Lepisosteus oculatus: one gene and its partners. The protein of the gene in region 3 interacts with the protein of the main gene of each other region in a pairwise test. Links are inferred from orthologs where the notes say so. Each region holds a gene or a part of one and is shown on either strand. Other genes may lie near its edges.

Evidence for each region. The genes of interacting proteins can lie anywhere in the genome.
Region 1: the proteins of keap1b (region 3) and dpp3 interact in binary tests that used the Homo sapiens proteins (3 or more experiments, as listed by UniProt). The two-hybrid records come from large-scale screens. The link is inferred for Lepisosteus oculatus from reciprocal best matches to the Homo sapiens genes KEAP1 and DPP3.
Region 2: the proteins of keap1b (region 3) and nfe2l1b interact in binary tests that used the Homo sapiens proteins (3 or more experiments, as listed by UniProt). The link is inferred for Lepisosteus oculatus from reciprocal best matches to the Homo sapiens genes KEAP1 and NFE2L1.

Annotation. Positions count from the first base shown.
Region 1 is NC_090713.1:22,419,053-22,426,361, forward strand, and holds the start of dpp3 (dipeptidyl peptidase 3), read left to right. Parts: upstream 1-4,287; 5' UTR 4,288-4,397; intron 4,398-6,596; 5' UTR 6,597-6,630; coding exon 6,631-6,900; intron 6,901-7,309. UniProt on the Homo sapiens protein: Cleaves and degrades bioactive peptides, including angiotensin, Leu-enkephalin and Met-enkephalin. Also cleaves Arg-Arg-beta-naphthylamide (in vitro).
Region 2 is NC_090723.1:8,969,064-8,975,914, reverse strand, and holds the start of nfe2l1b (endoplasmic reticulum membrane sensor NFE2L1b), read right to left. Parts: upstream 3,023-6,851; 5' UTR 2,934-3,022; intron 2,851-2,933; exon of another isoform or gene 2,728-2,850; intron 2,515-2,727; exon of another isoform or gene 2,348-2,514; intron 2,342-2,347; exon of another isoform or gene 1,929-2,341; intron 997-1,928; exon of another isoform or gene 896-996; intron 1-895.
Region 3 is NC_090706.1:16,416,598-16,424,085, forward strand, and holds the start of keap1b (kelch-like ECH-associated protein 1B), read left to right. Parts: upstream 1-4,480; 5' UTR 4,481-4,587; intron 4,588-5,020; exon of another isoform or gene 5,021-5,125; intron 5,126-6,382; exon of another isoform or gene 6,383-6,426; intron 6,427-7,488. UniProt on the Homo sapiens protein: Substrate-specific adapter of a BCR (BTB-CUL3-RBX1) E3 ubiquitin ligase complex that regulates the response to oxidative stress by targeting NFE2L2/NRF2 for ubiquitination.

The DNA of each region.
Region 1 (7,309 bases), on a different chromosome or scaffold from region 3:
CTGGCTCAGTATGGCTCGGTCCAGTCCAGTCCAGTCCAGTCTGGCTCAGTATGGCTCGGTCCACTCCAGTCCAGTCCCTTCTGGCTCATTCCACAGTTCAGCCCGTTCTCCCTCACTTGCCGGTCAGTCCAGTCCAGTCTGGCTCAGCCGAGTCCGTTCTCACTGCCAGTTCAGTCCAGTCCAGTCTGGCTCAGTGTGGCTCGGTCCAGTCCAGTCCAGTCCAGTCTGGCTCTTCCCACAGTCCAGCCTGTTCTTTTTCACTGCTGGTCAGTCCAGTCCAGTCTGGCTCAGTATAGCTCAGTTCAGTCCAGTCCAGTCCAGTCTGGCTCAGTCCAGTCCGTTCCAGTCTGGCTCAGTATGGATTGGTCCAGTCCAGTCCAGTCCAGTCTGGGACAGTCCAGCCTTCTGACAGTTTACCATAGTGAATGTATCACACTCTGTGGGTTGTTTTACTGTGTTTTTTCCACAGATGTGCTGTGGGTTTAACCAGCCTTGTCTGTGCTGTGCCACAGTGCATGACCAGGAAGGCCGGGTCTGAGTCCCGTTAATGGCGGTTGTGGGTGCGAGGCCTCCTGTTCCTCGTGTACTTCCTGTCTGGTCTTAATTGGCAACTAGTTAACGAGGAACAGAGAGGGGTGGGAATAACCTCCTATGAGTCTTGCTGTTCAACTAAAGGTTTGATCAGTAATCAATCAGGATAATAATTCAAGTAGTTCAGGAGGGGAGCTGGCTGCAAAGGAACAAGTGCAGGTTTATTCCCCGCAGAAGAGCGATGAAAGGAAACACAACGTTTCGGCTGTGGAGCCTTCTTCGGGTGTGGATGGGCAGGCACTTCTAGTCTCTTCTAGTGCACTCTAACCCAACAGTCCTGTGCACCGGTCCAATCTGACCTAGCCCATTCCACTCCATCGCGGTCCCGTGCAGTCCAGTCTGGGCCAAATCAAACCCGGTTCAGCCCACTACGCTGTTCCCTAGATCTCAGTCTGACTCGGTCCGGTCCAGCCCACACCTCTCCGGACTGACGCAGGTCATCCCAGTCTAATTCCAGACCCCTCTCGCCCGTTGTGACCTCTGTGTTGAACAGCCTAGGTCTCCATTCGGACCAGTCCGGTCCAGTGCCCTGCAGTGTGACCCGCCCCAGTGCGGTCCACAACCCACAACCCGGCCGCACCAAGTTCTGCAGCGTGGGCCGGCCCAGCCCGGGACAGGCTTGAGACTGCGGAATGAGAAATAAAAGCCTTTCTCCGCGATTCCTGTCCTGGGCCTTGTTGTCCGGGCCGGAATGCTGTGACAGGGGATGATGGATGACCCGGGCCCAGAAGGGATGGGTGTTTATCCCCCCCAGTGCCACCCTGTCCCTGGTAATGGTTTCCCCCGAGCCCTGGCTTCTGGACCGTGGGGCCCAGAGAGAGAGGGCACGGCGCTCTCTAATCACGGCCCCCTCCCCAGCGCAGTCAAAACATCCCCCCGGTCCCGTTTCCTGCTGACTGCACGCTGGCACACGGGCCCTGCTGCCTGAAACGCCCACGCTGTCGACAGCCCTCGTTAGCGCCCCTTTAACGAGGTCCCCCGGCACGGCATCCCCGACCTTCCCCTTCCCTGAGCTGGCTCGGGTCTTGCTTTTTCACACCAGGGGCGGGAACTGACGTTGCGGGCCGGGGAGGAGGTGGGGGGAAGCATTTCAGTGTGGCGCGGGCTTCACACACCTTCGCCGATAGGGCCCCGCCCCGCGAAAGGTAACACCGGCATGTCGTGTTTTTCTCTGCGGGCGCGCGGCGGCGGGGGGGCGTGATCCGACTTCAGAGCGCGCTGCCAGGGCGCCTGGAGGGGCTCGGGCACGGAGGGGTGACCCCTGTTTATCTCCGCTGGCGATCTGGCCAGCCCAGGCGCTGGGAATGAGTGGCGGGGGGGATGAAAGGCGGGATCGGGCGGTCCTAGACCCAGGCTTAATAACGCAATCAGGCCGTTTCCTGTTTAGGGAAGCCCAGAGAGGCCTGTTCGGCCCCAGGGGAGGTAGGATTAGGACGTTAATGGAGCGTGAACACAGCACCGAGCAAGGGCAGAGGGAGAGTGAGGGCAGGAGGGACAGACGGGCTTCCTGAGAAACAGACGGGCCCAGAGAGGGGGGCAGTGCAGGAAAAGACAGAGGAAAACTAGCAGAGCCCAGTGAGATCGGGGTAAAAGCACAGTACAATGCAGTAGAGCCCAGTGAGATCGGGCTAAAAGCACAGTACAATGCAGTAGAGCCCAGTGAGATCGGGCTAAAAGCACAGTACAGTGCAGTAGAGCCCAGTAAGATCGGGGTAAAAGCACAGTCCAGCGCAGTACAGCCCAGTGAGATCGGGGTAAAAGCACAGTCCAGCGCAGTACAGCCCAGTGAGATCGGGGTAAAAGCACAGTCCAGCGTAGTAGAGCCCAGTGAGATCGGGGTAAAAGCACAGTACAGCGCAGAAGAGCCCAGGGAGATCGGGGTAAAAGCACAGTACAGCGCAGCAGAGCCCAGTGAGATCGGGGTAAAAGCACAGTACAGCGCAGTAGAGCCCAGTGAGATCAGGGTAAAAGCACAGTATAGCACAGTAGAGCCCAGTGAGATCAGGGTAAAAGCACAGCACAGTGCAGCAGAGCCCAGTGAGATCGGGGTAAAAGCACAGTACAGCGCAGTAGAGCCCAGTGATATCAGGGTAAAAGCACAGTATAGCACAGTAGAGCCCAGTGAGATCAGGGTAAAAGCACAGCACAGTGCAGCAGAGCCCAGTGAGATCAGGGTAAAAGCACAGTACAGTGCAGCAGAGCCCAGTGAGATCAGGGTAAAAGCACAGTACAGCGCAGTAGAGCCCGGTGAGATCAGGGTAAAAGCACAGTACGGCGCAGTAGAGCCCTGTGAGATCGGGGTAAAAGCACAGTACAGCGCAGCAGAGCCCAGTGAGATCGGGGTAAAAGCACAGTACAGTGCAGCAGAGCCCAGTGAGATCAGGGTAAAAGCACAGTACAGCGCAGTAGAGCCCGGTGAGATCAGGGTAAAAGCACAGTACGGCGCAGTAGAGCCCTGTGAGATCGGGGTAAAAGCACAGTACAGCGCAGCAGAGCCCAGTGAGATCGGGGTAAAAGCACAGTACAGTGCAGCAGAGCCCAGTGAGATCAGGGTAAAAGCACAGTACAGCGCAGTAGAGCCCGGTGAGATCAGGGTAAAAGCACAGTACAGTGCAGTAGAGCCCAGTGAGATCGGGGTAAAAGCACAGTACAGCGCAGCAGAGCCCACTGAGATCGGGGTAAAAGCACAGTACAGTGCAGCAGAGCCCAGTGAGATCAGGGTAAAAGCACACTACAGCGCAGTAGAGCCCAGTGAGATCGGGGTAAAAGCACAGTACAGTGCAGCAGAGCCCAGTGAGATCAGGGTAAAAGCACAGTACAGCGCAGTAGAGCCCGGTGAGATCAGGGTAAAAGCACAGTACGGCGCAGTAGAGCCCTGTGAGATCGGGGTAAAAGCACAGTACAGCACAGTAGAGCCCTGTGAGATCGGGGTAAAAGCACAGTACACCGCAGTAGAGCCCAGTGAGATCGGGGTAAAAGCACAGTACAGCGCAGTAGAGCCCAGTGAGATCGGGGTAAAAGCACAGTAAAGCCCAGTGAGATCAGGGTAAACGCATGCTAAAGTAATGAGTGATGTGAACCCTGAACCCATAGAAGCCTATGCAAAAATAAGCCTGCAGTCAAATTACAGGTTTCTAAATCAGGGGTCTCCAGCCCTGGTCCTGGGGATCCCCAGGGTCTAGTGCTCTCCAAGATGATACCCCAGTCAATCTGGGGTCCTGTACACTGTTCAGCGGTACAGCAGCAGGGTCTCCCACCCCAGGGTCGAACCCACGACCCCCCAGTGCCCAACGCAAGAGCGGAGAACAACTAGAGACGCTGAAAACGGGCTGCTGCTCTTTAGAAGATCAACAGCTGCCGTCTAGTGTCTCGTACTGGTATTGCACGCAGGTGCAGAGCACAGTTAACGGACACCGCGAATGTGCGGTTTATCTCGTCCCACACTCGCGCTTATTTGTGTGTACTCGATAGCTGACAAACCAGGTCGTCTCTCCCGGCCGAACTTTTAATAGAATTTATAATGTTTAAAGGGTGCAGAAAAAAAAAGAAATCGGACGAACGGAGCATTCCCTTTAAGAACTCAGTGGGGAGGCGGGACGTCCTTCCAAACGGTGATTGGGCAACCGGCGCGCCGATCGGGTTCCAGACGCAGGCGCGGTTCTCCGCTCTGATTGGTCGAGGCGGCTGTCGCCTGTGACAACCCGGAAGCCCTCCTCGCCGGGCAATGAATGAGAACCGGAAGTGCCTGCGGGTAGCGACGGTGCGAGCGGGGAAGACTCTCGTTGAACCACTGTGAATATATCTAGGTGAGCGGTATCGGTTCGTGGGTTTTATATAAATATATCTATATTTTTTTTTTTTTTTTACAAAAACGCGTTTCCCGTTAGCCGAAAAGTCAAAACAAGAGCGTCCCGGAAAGCTCTGGGGGGGAGACGAAAATCTCTTCTGTTTTGTGAACTTTAGCCTCGGCTCCTCTCCGTTAATATTTCATTTATTCTCATTTCGATTCGCTGTGCCCCTCCTGCACACAAGTCGCACCCTGCCGTATCCGTGTAGTTGTTTTCTTCCTTTCTGTGCGGCTCATGTCGCGATTTCAGTGGCGACAGACCAGTTGTCGCTGCCCGGCTCCCGGGCTGGCGGCTCGGTTCTGACTTGGCGGTCCGGGGCCGGAGAGCGCAGCTCACACCCGAGACCGCTTTCCGGGGATTTCTCGGGAATCATCTCATGACTTGGCGATGGAGGGGTTGTGATTTTTTACTTCTCCACTTTTCTACAAACAGAAAAAAACGTGTCACCGTGACATTTCCCCAGCCCTAAACGGTACGGCTCGGCTCCGTTCTGGCGAGTTCTCGGACGTCCGGACTGGACCCGAACCCGTCTGTCTGGATACGTCCGCCAGTTAGCTCTGCTAGCCGTTGAACAAATCACACCTTCCCTACCCGTCTGGGATATGTGATGCAGTCCGCGGAGAAGTCGGCGCTGCGCTCCTGCTGTGTAGCAGGATGATCCAGTCCGGGCTTTGCGCAGGCAGGGCAGCCGCGCAGTGCTGGGTCTACGTAGAGTCTGTCTGCTCATAGTGCGCAGACTTGCCCGTCTTTAAATGCGGCCCTTTCCTACGATGAGTACAACAGGAACGAGTAAGACCTGGAGCGGATCAGATTGCTGTGCAGTGGGAGTGTGATCTGTCTCTCAGGTTAACACTGCAGAAATCACTAACCCCATGTAGGGGTGTTTAAAATACCAGTATCTACAATACTGTTAGGCTTGACCCTTCCAATTAATTTATTTGGGGGCTCCCCAGTCTGGGTCGTGCGGGGCTGCTGTGTGGCCTGCAGGTTTTCAGTCCCCTTAACGACCTGCGTCGGCTCGTTAACGGCTTTAATTGGACCACTTAAACAGCCGTTCAGGCGCTGCTGTTTCTAAGAGAACTAGGAACCCCGCAGACGCAGCGTCCCCTCCTGGACCAGGAGTGGGGACCCCTGGCGGACTTTTTAAAAATTGCCCTCTGAGGGCAGTACTGTGTGGCGATCACGGACTCCCCTGGTGGAGACCCGTCGTGTACCTGGTTTAGGGCAGCTGCCCGCAGTCCGGGCCGGAGTGTTTGTTTGATAGGGCAGTCCTGCGCCCCCTGCTGGGCGTGTTGGGTGTGTCCCCAAGGCTAGTCGGTTTTATATGGGACTGCAAAGTCCAAAGGCTGTCTTGGCGAGCGTTTGGTGTCGTTTCTGGGGCTCCGCCCAACCCCGTAAAAAACACGCCCGCCTACACGGACACGGACACGGACACACACACACACGGAAACGCACTCCCAGGACGCTTTCAGGAAGCAGCGGGGTGAGATCTGCCCAGTGATGACGGGGGGGGCTGCTTTACACAAAGGGCGGCGGGGGTGTGGAGCAAGCTGCCCCAACAGCTGGTTCAGTAGTTCAGGTCTGGTCTTGTTAGACCAGGAGGACAGCTGGTCCGGTGGTTCAGGTCCGGTCCTGTCACACCAGGGGGACAGCCGGTCCGGCGGTTCAGGTCCGGTCCTGTTACACCAGGGGGACAGCCGGTCCGGCGGGTCAGGTCCAGTCCTGTTACACCAGGGGGACAGCCGGTCCTGTGGGTCAGGTCCGGTCCTGTCACACCAGGGGGACAGCCGGTCCGGCGGTTCAGGTCCGGTCCTGTCACAACAGGGGGACAGCCGGTCCGGCGGGTCAGGTCCAGTCCTGTCACAACAGGGGGACAGCCGGTCCGGCGGTTCAGGTCCGGTCCTGTTACACCAGGGGGACAGCCGGTCCGGTGGTTCAGGTCCAGTCCTGTTACAACAGGGGGATAGCCAGTCTGGCGGTTCAGGTTATGTCTCATTAGACCAGGGGGACCGTCAAAGCACTGGCCGTCCTGTCCGGCCCAGTGCTTGCTGGGACAGGCTCCGGCACTGCCCCCCCCCAGTCGCGCGCCTCCTCTGCCGCTGCCGCCCGGCTCACGTCCCGGCGCTCTCTCTCTCTCTCTCTCTCGCCGCCCCGCAGAGCTCGCTGTCCGCGTCTGAGCCGGGGCCCGGAGATGGTGGACTCCCAGTACTACCTCCCCAACGACGTCGGGATCGCGGCGCTGGACTGCGCCGAGGCCTTCCGGCTGCTGTCGCCCAGGGAGCAGCTGTACGCCCACTACGTGTCCCGGGCCGCCTGGTACGGCGGCCTGGCCGTGCTGCTGCAGACCTCGCCCGAGTCCACCCCCGTCTACGTGCTGCTGCAGCGGCTCCTGCGCCGCCAGCCCCCCGCCGAGCTGGAGGGCGTGGCCACGGCCGCGGGGCTGACCCCCGAGGAGTTCCAGGTGAGCCTGTCTCGGCGGTGCGGCTCTTCACACCCCCTCTGGCCAGAGTATTGGGATCCCCCATGAATAATGGGGTGACCAGTCCTGGTCAAGGAAGGGTCAGTGTGTCTGCAGCGGGGGTGTCCAGTCCTGGTCCAGGAGGGGGCGCTGTGTCTGCAGCAGGGCTGTCCGGTCCTGGTCCAGGAGGGGTCAGTGTGTCTGGAGCAGGGCTGTCCAGTCCTGGTCCAGGAGGGGTCAGTGTGTCTGCAGCGGGGGTGTCCAGTCCTGTTCCAGGAGGGGTCAGTGTGTCTGCAGCGGGGCTGTCCAGTCCTGGTCCAGGAGGGGTCAGTGTGTCTGCAGTGGGGGTGTCCAGTCCTGGTCCAGGAGGGGTCAGTGTGTCTGCAGTGGGTGTGTCCAGTCCTGGTCCAGG
Region 2 (6,851 bases), on a different chromosome or scaffold from region 3:
CGCAGGGGGATCGCACCAGCGAGCGGTTTCTCTGGGGCCTTGATCTGAAGCGGGGGCTCCCACACTCGGCCCCACCTTGGATCACCGGCCCCTGAACCGATCCGAGACGTTTCAATGGAATATTCCGTTGCTAGTCACAAGTCTGGGATTTTATTTCACTTACAAAACACAACGGTTAAAGCTCCAGTGTGTTTAAGCGCTGGGGGGGGAGGGGGGCTGCTCAAATGAATCTTATTATTATAACGTGAGAGAGGCTGGATTGTGTAATCGAGGGCTTGGCTGGAACAAAACCCAACAGGCGTGTGGGTCACACAGGGACAGGCTTGGGAACCCCTGCCGTGGATCTGGAGTCTTCTCCCAGCGGGCAGGTCAAGAGCTCCCCAGTGAGGCAGATTAGCCCCTTAACAAGACCCAGCAAACCCGCAAGCCGCTCTTTTTTTTTGTTTTTTTTAATCGATAGAATTAAACGTTCATTTGAGGTGCAACAGCAGCTCGGCCACAGGAGGCTCCTGTTGCCACGGGCAACGGCGGACTAGACAACAAAACAGCCCCCCGGGCAGGCACGTTGCACTGGACACCGGGCCGCGAGGCGTCGGGTTACACTGCCAAAAACACGAGTGTCCGCGGGGTCAGGTCTTCATTTCGCAACTGCGCTTAGAAACTAACTCCCCCTCCTCCTCCCAGCCCCAACTACCACTGAGGGGTTGCAATTTTAAAAAGAAATGACTGAAACGCTTTTCATGTCCCACCCTTTTCACTCGCAAACCTATGCAAAGGCACGTGTTTGTGAAGTTCCCTCCATGAGCAAAGGAATAGTCCTTCTAAACGAAAGGGCAACAGTTTCCTCTCGAGTCCGATTCCCACGCCGGCTCAGAGCAGCGGTGCGCTGACCTACTTTGTCAAAGTGCTGGAGACGCGGCGGCGGTTGAACTGGCGGGGTGATGTAATCCGCCCGTTTCCCGGGAAATAGCCGGCCTTCTCCCGCCGGCACCCAGCCCAGCCCCCCTCTAACTGCACTTAGCCTACACAACCTGTCGGGACCGCGGGGTACACAAACGATTGTTAACGTGACACGGCCTGGGTGGGGGATGCATATTTACTAGCGATCAGCTGACTGTAGACCACGCGAGTATTTAAAGAGCAAACACCACGATAAACCGATTGTCAACGCCAGGGTTGTCCTACTTACTCTCGCAAGCCAAGCATGATACATGAAACGTTTGTCACACTGTCACATCTCAAATCGGTCTCTTATTCTGGGAGCACCTGACTACCCCGCACCCCACCCGTGACGGCTCCACGCTCAGACAGAACCAAGCCGACGCTTCACACGATTCGCGTCGCCTCGGGTCGCAGATAAAACTTCTAGAACTTGTTAAAAGCCCAGAGTTTCACTTCACCAAGCTCGTCTCCAATGCCTGAGCTAGAAATGTAGATTACTTTCTATTTCGTTAACTTTCGTAATCGGATTAGTATATAACAGACACGTGCTCATCTACTGTACCAAGATGTATTTTGTAATATTAAGAATTCATGTCCATGTCCGTGAATTTCAATCATTCACTAGATATGCCTACGAATTTAAGTCATACATTCAAACATTTCTGGGGCTCATACTACACAATTTAACATTTTCAGCTAAAATCGGTATTAGCTTTTACTAAATGTATTCACCGTTAAGCCACTGCACCGAATGGGCAAGACTATCAATACTGCCAGTGCGTCATCTAGCTTTTATATTTTGACAAGGAAACAAAAAACATTTATCGACACCCGCTTGCTCATGAGGGATGAAATGTTCAAGAATCGAACCCAATCCGTGGATGTTATTAACAATAACTGAAAGGAAATTATTAAAAAGCAATAACTGGACTTCCTCCACAGCAAAGACAGCTGACCACTCTTCATCCGCACGGACTCATGAATACCTTCTTAAGGTCTTTTTAAGTTTTGCAACTGGAAATAAATCCTTCTTTGCTTTCCCAGGAAAGGCAGTGGCCATACAAAGCTCTTCTTGCACCAAAACAGAAAAACGAAGAAACCAGCAATATCGGTCACAAGATCCGAGGGATGGAGTGCTTTTGCTCAACGAGGTAGATCCCAATTTCAAATGTCTGTTCAATAACAGTTTCTGAAAAGCTAGATATTAGTCGATCAACCTTTAAAAAATGGCCAATAATGTAATATTATTTCGAAAGGTCTCTCTGGCCTTTCGAAAAAACGAAACCCCGTCTCCAGTCGGCTGATTCCGCAACTGTCCCGTCCCGTCTGGCTTGTGTCATAAAGTTACCGAGGTTGTAATGAAGGTGAAAAATGCGAGAACGAAAATTTATAAGGTTTCTCTTACATGTCTTCCCCTCCCAAAGTGACGTTACCAGCTCCGTTACTTTCCTTCTTCCCTGTGCCCCCCTCCTCCTCCTAAATAACCCTCCCCACCAGCCGTCCCGTACTCGAAACTGACAAAAATACGAGCGTGGCCGCCCTCGTCGCAAACACCAACACAAACCAGGAAGTGCCCAGCCGGCAGACTTCCGCTATCGCTACCTCGGCAACAACGCTTAGCAACAAGTGGTGCCATGGTGACTGACACCCCAGACAGCCAATTGAAATCCAAGAAAGAAGCCCACGCGCCGGACTCTCCCTCTGACCGGCCAATGGAGATTGGATGGGGGCAGGCCGCTGTGGTTATGGGAGAGGGAAGTAGAGGGAGGCAATAGGAGTGAGTTATTTTCTTTAGCTGTCTGTTACAAACACAAAGCAATACATTTGGCTTCAAGCATTTTGTCTAAAACCCTTCTTTAGATGAGAAAAGCGAACCCAACACTTGACAATTTCCTGAACACCAACACGGTAACTAACACAGGCTTTTCCTTCACCATTTAGGAGTGGTAACTGAATTGTAAATCTTTTGCGTCAAAACCTCCGATACTTACAGTGTGTTGATTTTGACAGTCCGTGCTCTGGCAAGATACAAAACCGAGTCCTTGAATTCGCTATCCGCTCGTAGACGTATTTCCTTTCCTATTTAATGTCGGCTAATGTTGATATTTGTCTCGCCGTCTACTACTCAGGCCCATCGTGACTTGCAAAAAATGTTCTGCTACTACAGCTGCACGTTTTTCCCAAGGCGCATGCGTAGAATATTCCAGGCGCGCTGCAGATGACGTTTGCCGCCCCCGCCTCGTGCTGAATATTCATATTGTGCGTCAGGGAATGACGCAATACCGGAAGTCCAATGTGTTCGTCCCGCCTCTTGGAGTAGCTGTGTGATTTGTAAGTTGACAGGGTCGTCCAGGTCGTGTTTCTGGAGGATGGGTGGATGCGCAGGTTTTCCAGGTCTCTTTGAAGTAATTGTACTTGAAGAGCTGGGAGAAGCTGATCCAGTTATGCCAGATGGTTTAGTTCCTTAAGAGCGGAGTTACAATGCAAACCCACAGGCACGCCAGCCCTCACAGGGAGAAATCCGTTGTTTAATGCGGATTAAAAAGATTTACAGCCTCTAACAGTCATTTTGTTTATTAGTTAATTGTAGCTAACAGTGACTTCATTGTTATTCTCCTGGGTAAATATGTTCTTGACGTTGCTTGGAATAATCAAATAAATTTTGAAGAAGAAAATTTAAAAAAGATAACATATACTCATGGAAAATATGAGTTACTATGTCACCTTTTGTCATTTGGCCTGAGTCCCCTTTGGAGATGGGAAACGTATCCTAATGTTTGCACAAAGGAGGCTTAACCCCAACTGCTCCAGGGGTGCTGTATAAATAGCTGACCCTGCTGACCTCTGACCCCAAGCTTCTCTCCCTGTCTGTGTCTCATGGAGAGCAAGCTGGGGTCTGTGAAAAGATGACTTCCTAATGCAAGAAATTGTATATGGCTAATAAAGTGATCTTATCTTATCTTATCTAACACATTTTAATTTTCCTTTAGGTAAACATGCTGAACCTGAATGCTGTTTCATATTGGTTGGCAGGCAAGGGGAGATACACTCTCAATGTGAGACCTATCTTCTTTTTCAACAGTATCACTTCAAACATATTTAGTGTATGATCATATTGTGAAAGGGTCAGCATTGCTGCCTCACAGCGCTGGGGCCCTGGTGTCAGTTCCAGGCCCGGGCAGCTGTCTGAGTGGAGTTTGCATGCTCTCCCTGTGTTCGTGTGCATCTCTGGGTGCTCCGGTTTCCTCTCACAGTCCAAAGCCATGCTGGAAGGTTAATTGGCGGTTGGGAAAACTGGTGTGAGCGTGCCTGTGTTTGTGTCTCTGTCTGCCCTGTGATGGGTTGGCGTTCCGCCCATATTTTGGGCCCGTTGCTTGCTGGGATAGTTTGAAGACGGATGGATAATACTGTGAAGCAGACCAAAACTGAGAAGGTAAACGCAGTAAGACCGAGGCTCCGGGATCAGACGAGGGAAATCAGAGGACATGCATTCGAGACTCAGAACAGCAGGTTGCTGTACTTCTCCACACAGAAGGTTGTAGGTAGAACAAGGCACCCAGACATGTGGTTAAAGACGTCCCCCTGGGGTACCTCATGACACTGTCAGGTTCCAAACACGGGTGGTAAGTCAAAAATTCCTCCACTTGTTTGCTCCCCACTTGTTTTTATGGTCCTAAGAGGAACTACATTCTCTACCATGTGACATTAGTGACTTGTGCACTTTTAATTCTATAGGAGAAAAAGATCTGGAGCGTTTCAGTGTGAGCCTCAGGAACAGCTTGTCAAAGCCGATTTGGATTTTTCAAATGTTTTTACACTGCAAGAATTCATCCAGAGGGCTAGCCAGTAACCACCCTGTAGGAGGCATCTCTACAGTGACTGCCACGCTGGATCAACTGCAAATAAAATGAATAAATTGATCTGTATGCCTTGTTAAGTGTGTTTTGACTACAGGGATCTTAAAAATAAAATGTTACAGAACTTTGTTTTGATTTTGATTTTGTAAGAAAGGATAACATTATATATACATTTCTTTATAATTCAAGGTTTTATTTTTAATATCTGGAACATGTACAACATATCTAATATTATGCTTCAGATTCTACCACATTTCTCATCTGCATCTTTATTAAGTTTTGCTTCCTGAGCTGCGTGAAAGCAGGCGTTATCTGAGCCAGCGCTCAGAATTTTAAAGTGTCTTATTGTTAAGTGTAGGATCAGGTTATGAAGGTTTTTAAAGACTTAAAAATATCCTTCTCTCGTTAGGTGTTTCACTGAGGAATGTTGAAACTTTCCAGGCCAATATTAAGGAACGTGAACGTGTCACAACCAGAAAAAAGCAAAAAAAGCTTTCGGCTGTTATTTATTTTGCCTGTTGAAACCCTATACATTGACCCCAGATTATCATGGCTGTATCACGTAATTTTGTTCATAAATTAGAAAACCTTTAAAAAGAGGCTGTGGTGTTGCCGTTGCTAACAGGACACATTACTGTGTCCTGTTAGACCCTCTCCCGGGAATTTTATAGTGAGCCGTTAGCTGGCCTAGCACCCATGTCAAAATGCCAGGTAAATGTGTTTTCAGCGACCTCTGGTTAGCAGATGAAAAATACAAGCTATGGCTCCAAAAAGATTAAATTATGCAGGAAAAGAAGTTCTGGAAAGGTTTGGAGTTTTGTTGGTAGAAATGAGTGGGAACACTGTTAAAAAACACTGTAATGAGCCGTGTTTTTCTGCACTAGGGCTTCAAATAAACAGCCACCCAGAGCCAGGCCAAAACTGCCTAAGGTGGGTGAAATTATGTAGGAGTTATGTTCGAGTCCAGCAGCAAATCAGAAGACCAGAAAGGGCTGAGTGGGATCCCACCCCACTGAGTCAATAACATAGAGTGCTCTGAAAATAAAGACAGGAATAATGGTGCATCTGAGCTGCAAATCTCCTATCACTTCACGGAAATTATTAGGTTCAAGGGAAGGCATGGGATAACTTTCACCAAATGCACTTCTCTTAGCTACTCTGTCAGGAATAGAACAGACAGTCCCTGGATGCTTTTCAAGGCCCAGAACAAACTCGGCAACGGAAGGGAAAAGAAAGTCCGTAACCAGAGATGTTTGGCCCGTGTAGTTCACTTGCCTGCAAGTGGACAATTGATCCAAAGACCTCTCCCTGCCGTCTCCACACCCCCACAACCCTTGGTCAACGCTACTGTAAAGATGTGATCTTGAAGAGCAGCCGTTCCCAAGTAATTACGTACTGATTTTTGTCTCAGGAGATTTCCAAGGGTTATGTCTGTCAAATTAAATGAGCTGTGTGTGTAAGGAAGATAGTGCAAGTCTGGGATATGCAGAAAACTGCGCATGAATAACAAGTACAGTAGTATCTCGTCATTTCTGCGCACACTGCCCTCTGTCGGGGGCCTAAGGGAAGACCGCCGTCAGTCGGGGTTGGTCGCTGGAGGGGAGAACAGTGGAGACTATACATCACAGCACCTGGACCACAGAAGATGAGTAACAACAAGAATCGTTAGATTTCTCCTGCCTGTGTTCCTCCAGGAGGCTGAATTCAAAATCTGTAGCTAATGAAGGGAAGGTGAAACTGAATGTTACAGCTGCGTTATTTCAGCAGCTATTTCTAACCGTTCAGCTCTTTTCCTCCGACACATTTTCTCCCCCTAACACCCACTTTCCAGCTGCGCCCGTACGTTTCTAATTGATCGAACATTAGTTATTACCGCCAACACGGTTCTGCGCAATGGCTTGGGTGTTCAAATAAGAAAACTGCTCTCCAGCGTCTCGCAGGAGGCTGGCGAGGTCTTGACGAGCTATCCCAGGGTGCCGTAGTGCCTTGAATAAAATTACCAACCGCTGGAGTCGGAAAGGGGGGACGTGTGTTAAAATGCATAGTAGTACA
Region 3 (7,488 bases):
GACGTGAAAGGCTCCGCTCCTGAAGCTCGAGATTTTAATCGCACAGTTCACCTGAGCTATATAGCTCTCTGGGTCCAGGTTCTGTTTACAAATTGCCAGATGTATAAGGGATTCACCTGGATAAATCAAGCCTAGGTAGTCCAAGACCAAACCCACGAACTAAGTTATGGTGGGCCCTCAGAATGGGCAGCAGGAGAGGGAGGTGTAGCAAAGACGACTCATTACACAAATGGGCAACACATGACTTTAAAACAAACCTCAAATATCACAACTGTTGGCCCCTCCTATCGCAACCCCAGACTTCCAGGCCGCTTTCAAAATCTCCAGTTGTCCATGTTCTTTCCCCATTCACCCACCCATTTTCTAACCATTTCATCCAACTCAGGGTTAAGGTGGCCCAGCGCCTGTCCTGGGAAGCAAGAGGCACAAGGCGGGATACACCCCAGACTGGGACAGCAGTCCATCGCAGGGCACACACAGACACAGACACACACTCACACCAGGACCAATCTTCCCTGAAGCCAATTAACCTACTGGAGCGCCTTCAGGACACCCACGTGAATGGGGGAGAACATTCAAATTCCACACAGACAGCACCCCAGGTCCAGAATTGAACCCAAGACCCCAGGGCTGTAGTGCCGGGAGGCAGCAGTGCTAACCTCTGCACCACCCCGCCACCCTCTTACCCTACGCAAAACACGGCAAATGACATTTCTTGAGGACAAGCTGGAAAAATCACTCTATAACAGGTCAGCCTGTCATAGGAAGCGGTCTTTGTGATTGTGAATTGTAGATCGTGTCATTAAACTCAAAACGATTGAACGGTTCTTGCAAATTAAAAAAAAAAACATTTGTAGACATTTCATAAACGGAAACACATGGCGCACTAGTGACGCCTTGTGGGCATCCTTTTTTCTACAAGTAGACGCTAGAATTGCAGGCGACTCTTTTTAAAACCAGCCGTTTTTAGTAAGATACATAAATTTGCAGGAAGCGTTGGCGTAGACGCGGAGCAACAGGTAAGAAAGCCTGATGGCCATGTATAAATACTGTCTGTACTCCTATGGAGGCTTACCATAGGTAACATCGACCCTGGAAGTCAAAGAGATAATTCCAGTCACGTTTCACTCATGATTGTTTTTATCCAGGAACAGGCCAGAGGCTACCTTCCCACAGACCAGAGATTTAGGACAGATACTGGATCCTGAATCTGGGACTCCATAACACAAAATCCCAAAGGCCCGATACATTCCTGTTTCAACTCGCCAGCAGCCATATCACCCTGCAACCCACTGAAACTCAGCAGGTGTGAGCCTGGTCAGCACCCGGATGGCAGACTCCTGGGAAAGCTAAGGTTGTTCCTGAAAGAGGTGTTAGGGGGGGCAGTAGGGGGCGCTCACCCTGTGGTCTATAAGGTCACTTTATTGGCCATATACAATTTCTTGCATTAGGAATTTATCTTTTCGCATACCCAACTTGCTCTACATGAGACACACAGACAGGGAGAGAAGGTTGGGGTCAGAGCGCAGGGTCAGCCATTTGTACGGTGCCCCTGGAGCAGCTTGGGTTAAGGGTCTTGCTCAGGAGCCCAACGGAGTAGGATTCCTCTGCTGGCTATCCCGGATATGTGGGTCCTGATGCCCTAGTATAGTGATGGGGACACTATACTGTAGAAAGGCACTGTCCTTTGGATGAGACGCAAACCGAGGTCCTGACTCTCTGTGGTCCCAGGGTGTTTCTCGAGAAGAGTAGGGGTGTTATCTTGGTGTCCTGGCCAAAATTCCCATTGGCCTTTACCAATCATGGCCTCCTAATAATCCCCATCTATGAACTGGCTTCATCACTCTGCTCTCCTCCCCAATGATAGCTGGTGTGTGGTGAGTGTACCGGTGCGCTATGGTCCCCATTACCTAAAACGTGCTTGGAGTGGAGGGTCCAGAAAGTGCTATATAAGTGTAAGTAACTCAAAAGGGAGATTTTCCACACAGCGTTACCTATTCCTACACACTCCACTACTGACAAGACAGGGTCTGTTCTGATCTGGCCTGGTCTGTACCTCCTCTGCAGTCACTGCCCTGCAGGTTATATGGTGAACAGGTGGATGCTGCACATCGGTGGTGGTGGAGGGGAGTCCCCATTACCTGTAAAGCGCTTTGAGTGGAGTGCCCAGAAAAGCGCTATATAAGTGTGAGCAATTATTATTATAACTACAACCCTTCAATAGCAGACTGTTATGAAAATGAATGAAATCAATCAACGATTCAGTTAAAGCTTCTGTACATCCCGGAATTCCTCTCTCTAATTCTCCGGACCCACACATTATTTAACGTGATCAGACCGTCTTCCAAAAAAAAAAAAATTGCATTCTGGAGGCCATTTTTAAAAGACGCTTAAATGCAAGCGTGTGTCACTTCATATGTCTGAGCCCTTGGCAATCCCAGAATCCTTGCCAGGAACGGGCTGCATCACTGAAGATTATGCCCACCCCTGTGTCAGCATGTCACAGCCTTAGCTCTAAAGCAGAGGAGTCCAGTCTCAAACCCAGGGGGACCACTGTGTCTTTAGCGGGGATTCCCAGTCTTAGTCTTGGGGACCCTCACAGGTCAACCCCGATTTGAACCAATTGCTTGGCATGGGTTTTTTTTTCTGACTAAAGGTGGATCTTAAGTTACTTACAAAACAGAATAGCTGAAAGGCAACTTACAACATGTTTATGAACAGAAAACAATGGAAGTGTTCAAATTAAACGTATAATTGGGTCTATTAAGCCACCTGCACACTTTGATTGAGTGTGCAGGTGGAACAGAAACCAGCAGGTATGGGGGTGCCCTGGACCAGGACTGGGGACCCCTGATCTATAGAGCTTCATTCTAGCTCTAGCTTAATTTGATTTGTGCTGCGTGGCTGCTGGGACATAATGACTAAGGTGTTAGTGGGGCCAGCAGGGGGCGCTCACTCTGCAGTCTATGTCGGTCCTAATGCCCCACTATAGTGACAGGGACACTATACTGTAAAAAGGCGCTGTCCTTCGGATGAGACATAAAACCGGGGTCCTGACTCTCTGTGGTCAATAAGAGTCCCAGGGTGTTTCTCGAAAAGAGTAGGGGTGTTACCCTGGCATCCTGGCCGAATTTCCCCTTGGCTTTTACCAATCATGGCCTCCTAATAATCCCCATCTATGAACTGGCTTCATTACTCTGTTCTCCTCCCCACTGATAGCTGTATGCCTGCCGTTGCATCATCCAGGTGGGGCTGTGCAGTGGTGGTGGTGGAGGGGATCCCCATTACCTGTAAAGCGCTTTGGGTGGAGTGTCCAGAAAAGTACTATGTAAGCGTAAGCAATTATTACTAATAATTATTACTGTGTGTCACCCAGATGCATCCAGCACTCCAGGGCATGAAATAATAATAAACCTATATAGAGCCCTAAAAGAATCTTCTCAAAGTGCTTAACGGTCAAAGTAAACAAAACACCAGTTACAACACAAGAACAGTAACAGGAAAACTGCAAACTCAGTAGCCTTCCAGGACCATGAGTGGACACGCGTGCTCGAAAGCAGTGGTCCACGGCTCTGGTCACGTGTCACCCTACCCAATACCTGCTGGTCTTCAATCGCTTAACTGATCTCACATCACAGCAATATAAGCAATATTCGACATTTTCTTCTCCTGCAAAGACAATGTTTTCAAGTTACTCGCAGATTTTGTGATGAAAAAAAAATCTGACATATCCAGGACTGAAAACAATCCAAAAAGGTCCAATTGATAAGAAACTAAAATCTGGGGTTCGATTAAATGATCGCGAGCTAAGATCAACTGCGGAAGACAGAAGAATAGACAGTAATTCGCAATTGATCATTCAAAACCGCTGGTGTAATATTATCTTCTGTTTTGCGTCTTAAAACCGCAACTGTCACACGTACAGTACGCACTTAGACAAATACAACACTCCCTGTCAGCAATATATACACTGTATTTTTAATAAAGTGTTAGTTTTGCCATTTGAATAAGACAAATCGATGACGGCATCTGCTGGGCACAGCATACGAATGGCAATAAATTACTTCAAGGGGAGTTCCTGTTTTGACGCAGGTATACAATAATGGCAGCACAGAATTAAAAACAAAATACAGAGTAACGAAAGCGTATGCAGTCACTACGTGGTGGAAGGTAGAGATGTTTGGCACACGATCACGGATGACTGATCCATAAAGGGGCTGTTATTCTCTCCAACCAAAGACAGATCTGAACAGTTGTATAGCGCACTGCATTCATGTAATCTGGACCAGGCTAGGCTGAGTGCCAGGGCTGAGGGCATTTCTATATTTCCCCTTTCCTTCTGTATTATTTTCCTGGTCCTCTTCCGTAAGAGTCTCTCTCCCTTTCTGCCAACATGAGGTAGCCCCAGTTGTTAGCGGTGGGGCTCTTATTTTGGCACAGCGAGAAGGTCCGTACAATGCTTAGTCATGGTGAGTTACGTCTTCCCTCAACCCCCCCTTCTTGCCCGCCCCCCCCTTTTTTCCTCTAAATTCACGGCAAACACTGAGCAGCGATAGAAATGTACGTCTTGTGCTACAAAAGATTTCTGTAAGTAACCACCGCCTGTATCGAGCGAAGGCGTCTTTTAACGCGGTTTGCGATTTGAATGTTTTTCCTGATGTATCGGGCTTTTTGTTCTCGGTGACTAAAGCATGTTATCATCATAGACACGCTTGCTTTGCGAGCCGCGATAAACAGCTTACAGTAGCAGAACACAGATGGTGTCAGAAGAGCCTGCGAATACTTAATCAACAAAGCAATACTTGCTTGTGAGCTAATTAATTACTGGAGTTTTTTCTGTTTTAGTTTGGTGCATGAAAAACGAAAAATATGAATACCGATTCCACAGCATTGCTGTGGAAATATTACTCTAATGTAGTATAGTAAGCGCTATGCATCATCGCTGATGTCTTTTTTACGTGTTTGTGACTGTCAGTTGGTTATGCAACAGGATGACAAAACTACAGGGCTGATCGCTTTTTTTTATACTGCTTAAAGTACTGTAGCGTCCAGAGAAGTGTTGTTTGCGCTCTGGTACAGTTTGTAATCAGTAGTGTCTCTCTCTTCGCTAACTGGTCATGGAAAGGTGAGTCACTAAGGGGGGGAAGGGATTTTATGCAAAAAATAATTGCAGTTTGTTTTTCGATCCGCTTCTATGCTTTAAGAAACGGTGCATTTTTTTATCCAAACCTTCTTAAAAGTGTTTTGGCTCGGCTAGATGTGTAGCCCATACAAAATAGACCATTACGTAACAAAGTGTAAGTGACAGTGTTAACTTTAGTGGCTTCGATCATATTTAAGTAGCTTCTGGAACCGCAGACTAACGTGCGTTTTTATACATTAACTCCTATTAGATGCGAGGAGACATTTGCACTCTCATTTTGTGGTGTAGACACAAATTAAAATATTTTAAAGGTCCATTTGAGCCGCTTTTACTGCTGTATGTTAACTCATTCAACTCATCCATCGGATGTTTTCTGTGTGGGAAAACCATTATCTACACGATAAGTAAATAAGTTATTTTCCATAGTCCATAGTCCCAGATTATGGAAGAGACCCTTTGCGTTCGTTTTCAGAGTTTAGTTAATTTTACATCGAAAGAGGAAACGGTTATTAAAATATTACTGTACTTTGACCGAAACTTTCAATTTGTGTTCCACCTTTTCAGTGTTAAGCTTGGTCTCGATTCATATCTCTTACATATGAATATAACACTCGATGACGGGTTTTAATTACCGGAACATTAAAAATAAACGCGAGGCGTGTCACTGTTCCCTTGTTTGCAGCAGTGTTTTTCATTTACCGGGGGACGCGTGTTTTCTCAAGCGAAGTCGGTATCGCGGGGTGGGGTAACAAATCTCTACTCTAGTCCGGGGATTCTAGGCCATTATTGCAAGGTAACCCTGTGTATTATCCTGTTTAATATTATAAGTAACCACATGCAACACTCATATTAGCGAGACGTTAAAAATAAAGGCCAGGTTTGCTGTATAGACTACGGTTAAATAATATAAAGACTTACACCAGACTGGCTGTAACGCGAACATTTGTTGACCTGGTTTTGTAAACCTGACCGTGGCACTATAACCTATCATCGCCTTAAGTTTTAGACCTTTACAGGTATATGTTATGGTGCATAAAGCTCCCGCTTGTGAAGAAGAAAAACAAAAAATATTCCAGCGCACCGAGTCCATTTTTTAACCACTGAAGTCTTTTTTTTATGCTTGTTCTTCCAAATTCTTTATGCGCCGCACACCAATGCTTATTTCATACACAGAAGTCTTACACAATCACACGCCTCTTATTTTTTCAGTTTTCTAGAGATGACGAAGCTGTACACTACCTGATTCCTTATATCCGGCCCAACTATTGGAATTAGAAAGTTGCAGGTCATGTTGAACGATGTTGCTTTTAATATAAATTAAATGAGAAGGGAGGACTGGGTCATGTTTACGTGACCCACTGACAGCCCACTGTATTTCCCAGTGCCTCCCACAGTCTAAGACACGAGTGGATCACGCTAACAGCTAATTACACGAACGCACGTTTTATTTTCACGTGAAAACACTTGGCTTTTTAAATGTGTATATATATTTGTGACTTGGCAAGTTTTGAAAGCCCTATTCATGTTAACGAATCATTACACATCTCATTTATTTTATGCAATCTATTTTTTCTCAAGCCATTAAGAGCTGAGGTATAATGAAAAAACATTTTTTTTGACACTTCAGGACCTGGAGTGCTGATCACTGCCCAAACAATTGTATCTTCACAGCTGTAAGCTCTCAAAGGACTGATATAAATTACATACACCTGCTCACTTTCATGCCAAACAAGCTTAATTACTTAATTGAATCCTTAATCGAACTCACAAGGTGATTGGTTGAAATACTTGCCAGCCCATTCCTCCTCTCCCATTTCTTTGCAGTTGTATAGCTTGTCCTGACTTGGAAGGTCCAATTTTAGATGTCCTATTTACTAGATGAAGAGAAGATTAATAAATGAGAGTTCTTAACTGAACTATGGGAGGAAAGGCAACACTCTGTGCCACAGCTGTTCTAAATCATAATCATTCTCAACATCAGTTCTTGAAAGTTGTATATATCATAAGCAGACCCCACTTTTCACATTCATCTCTCTCCCGGGGGGGTCCCAGCATCCTTTTCCTGTGGCTGGGGGGCCAAGACAAATTTCTGTCCTAATTGTTCTGTCACATTCAGGGCCGCAGCAGAGCTGGAGCCTATCCCAGGAAGCAAAAGGCACAAGACGGGGTACATCCTTGAAGGGGGCCGGTCCATCACAGGGATAGGGCACACACAGACATAAAAATACACACACACCTGTGCAATTTGTGTAGAAATTGACCTACCAATTAAGGGCCAATTAAATTACCACTATGTCTGTGGACTGTGGGAGGAAACCCGGAGCAGAAACCCACATGAACAACAT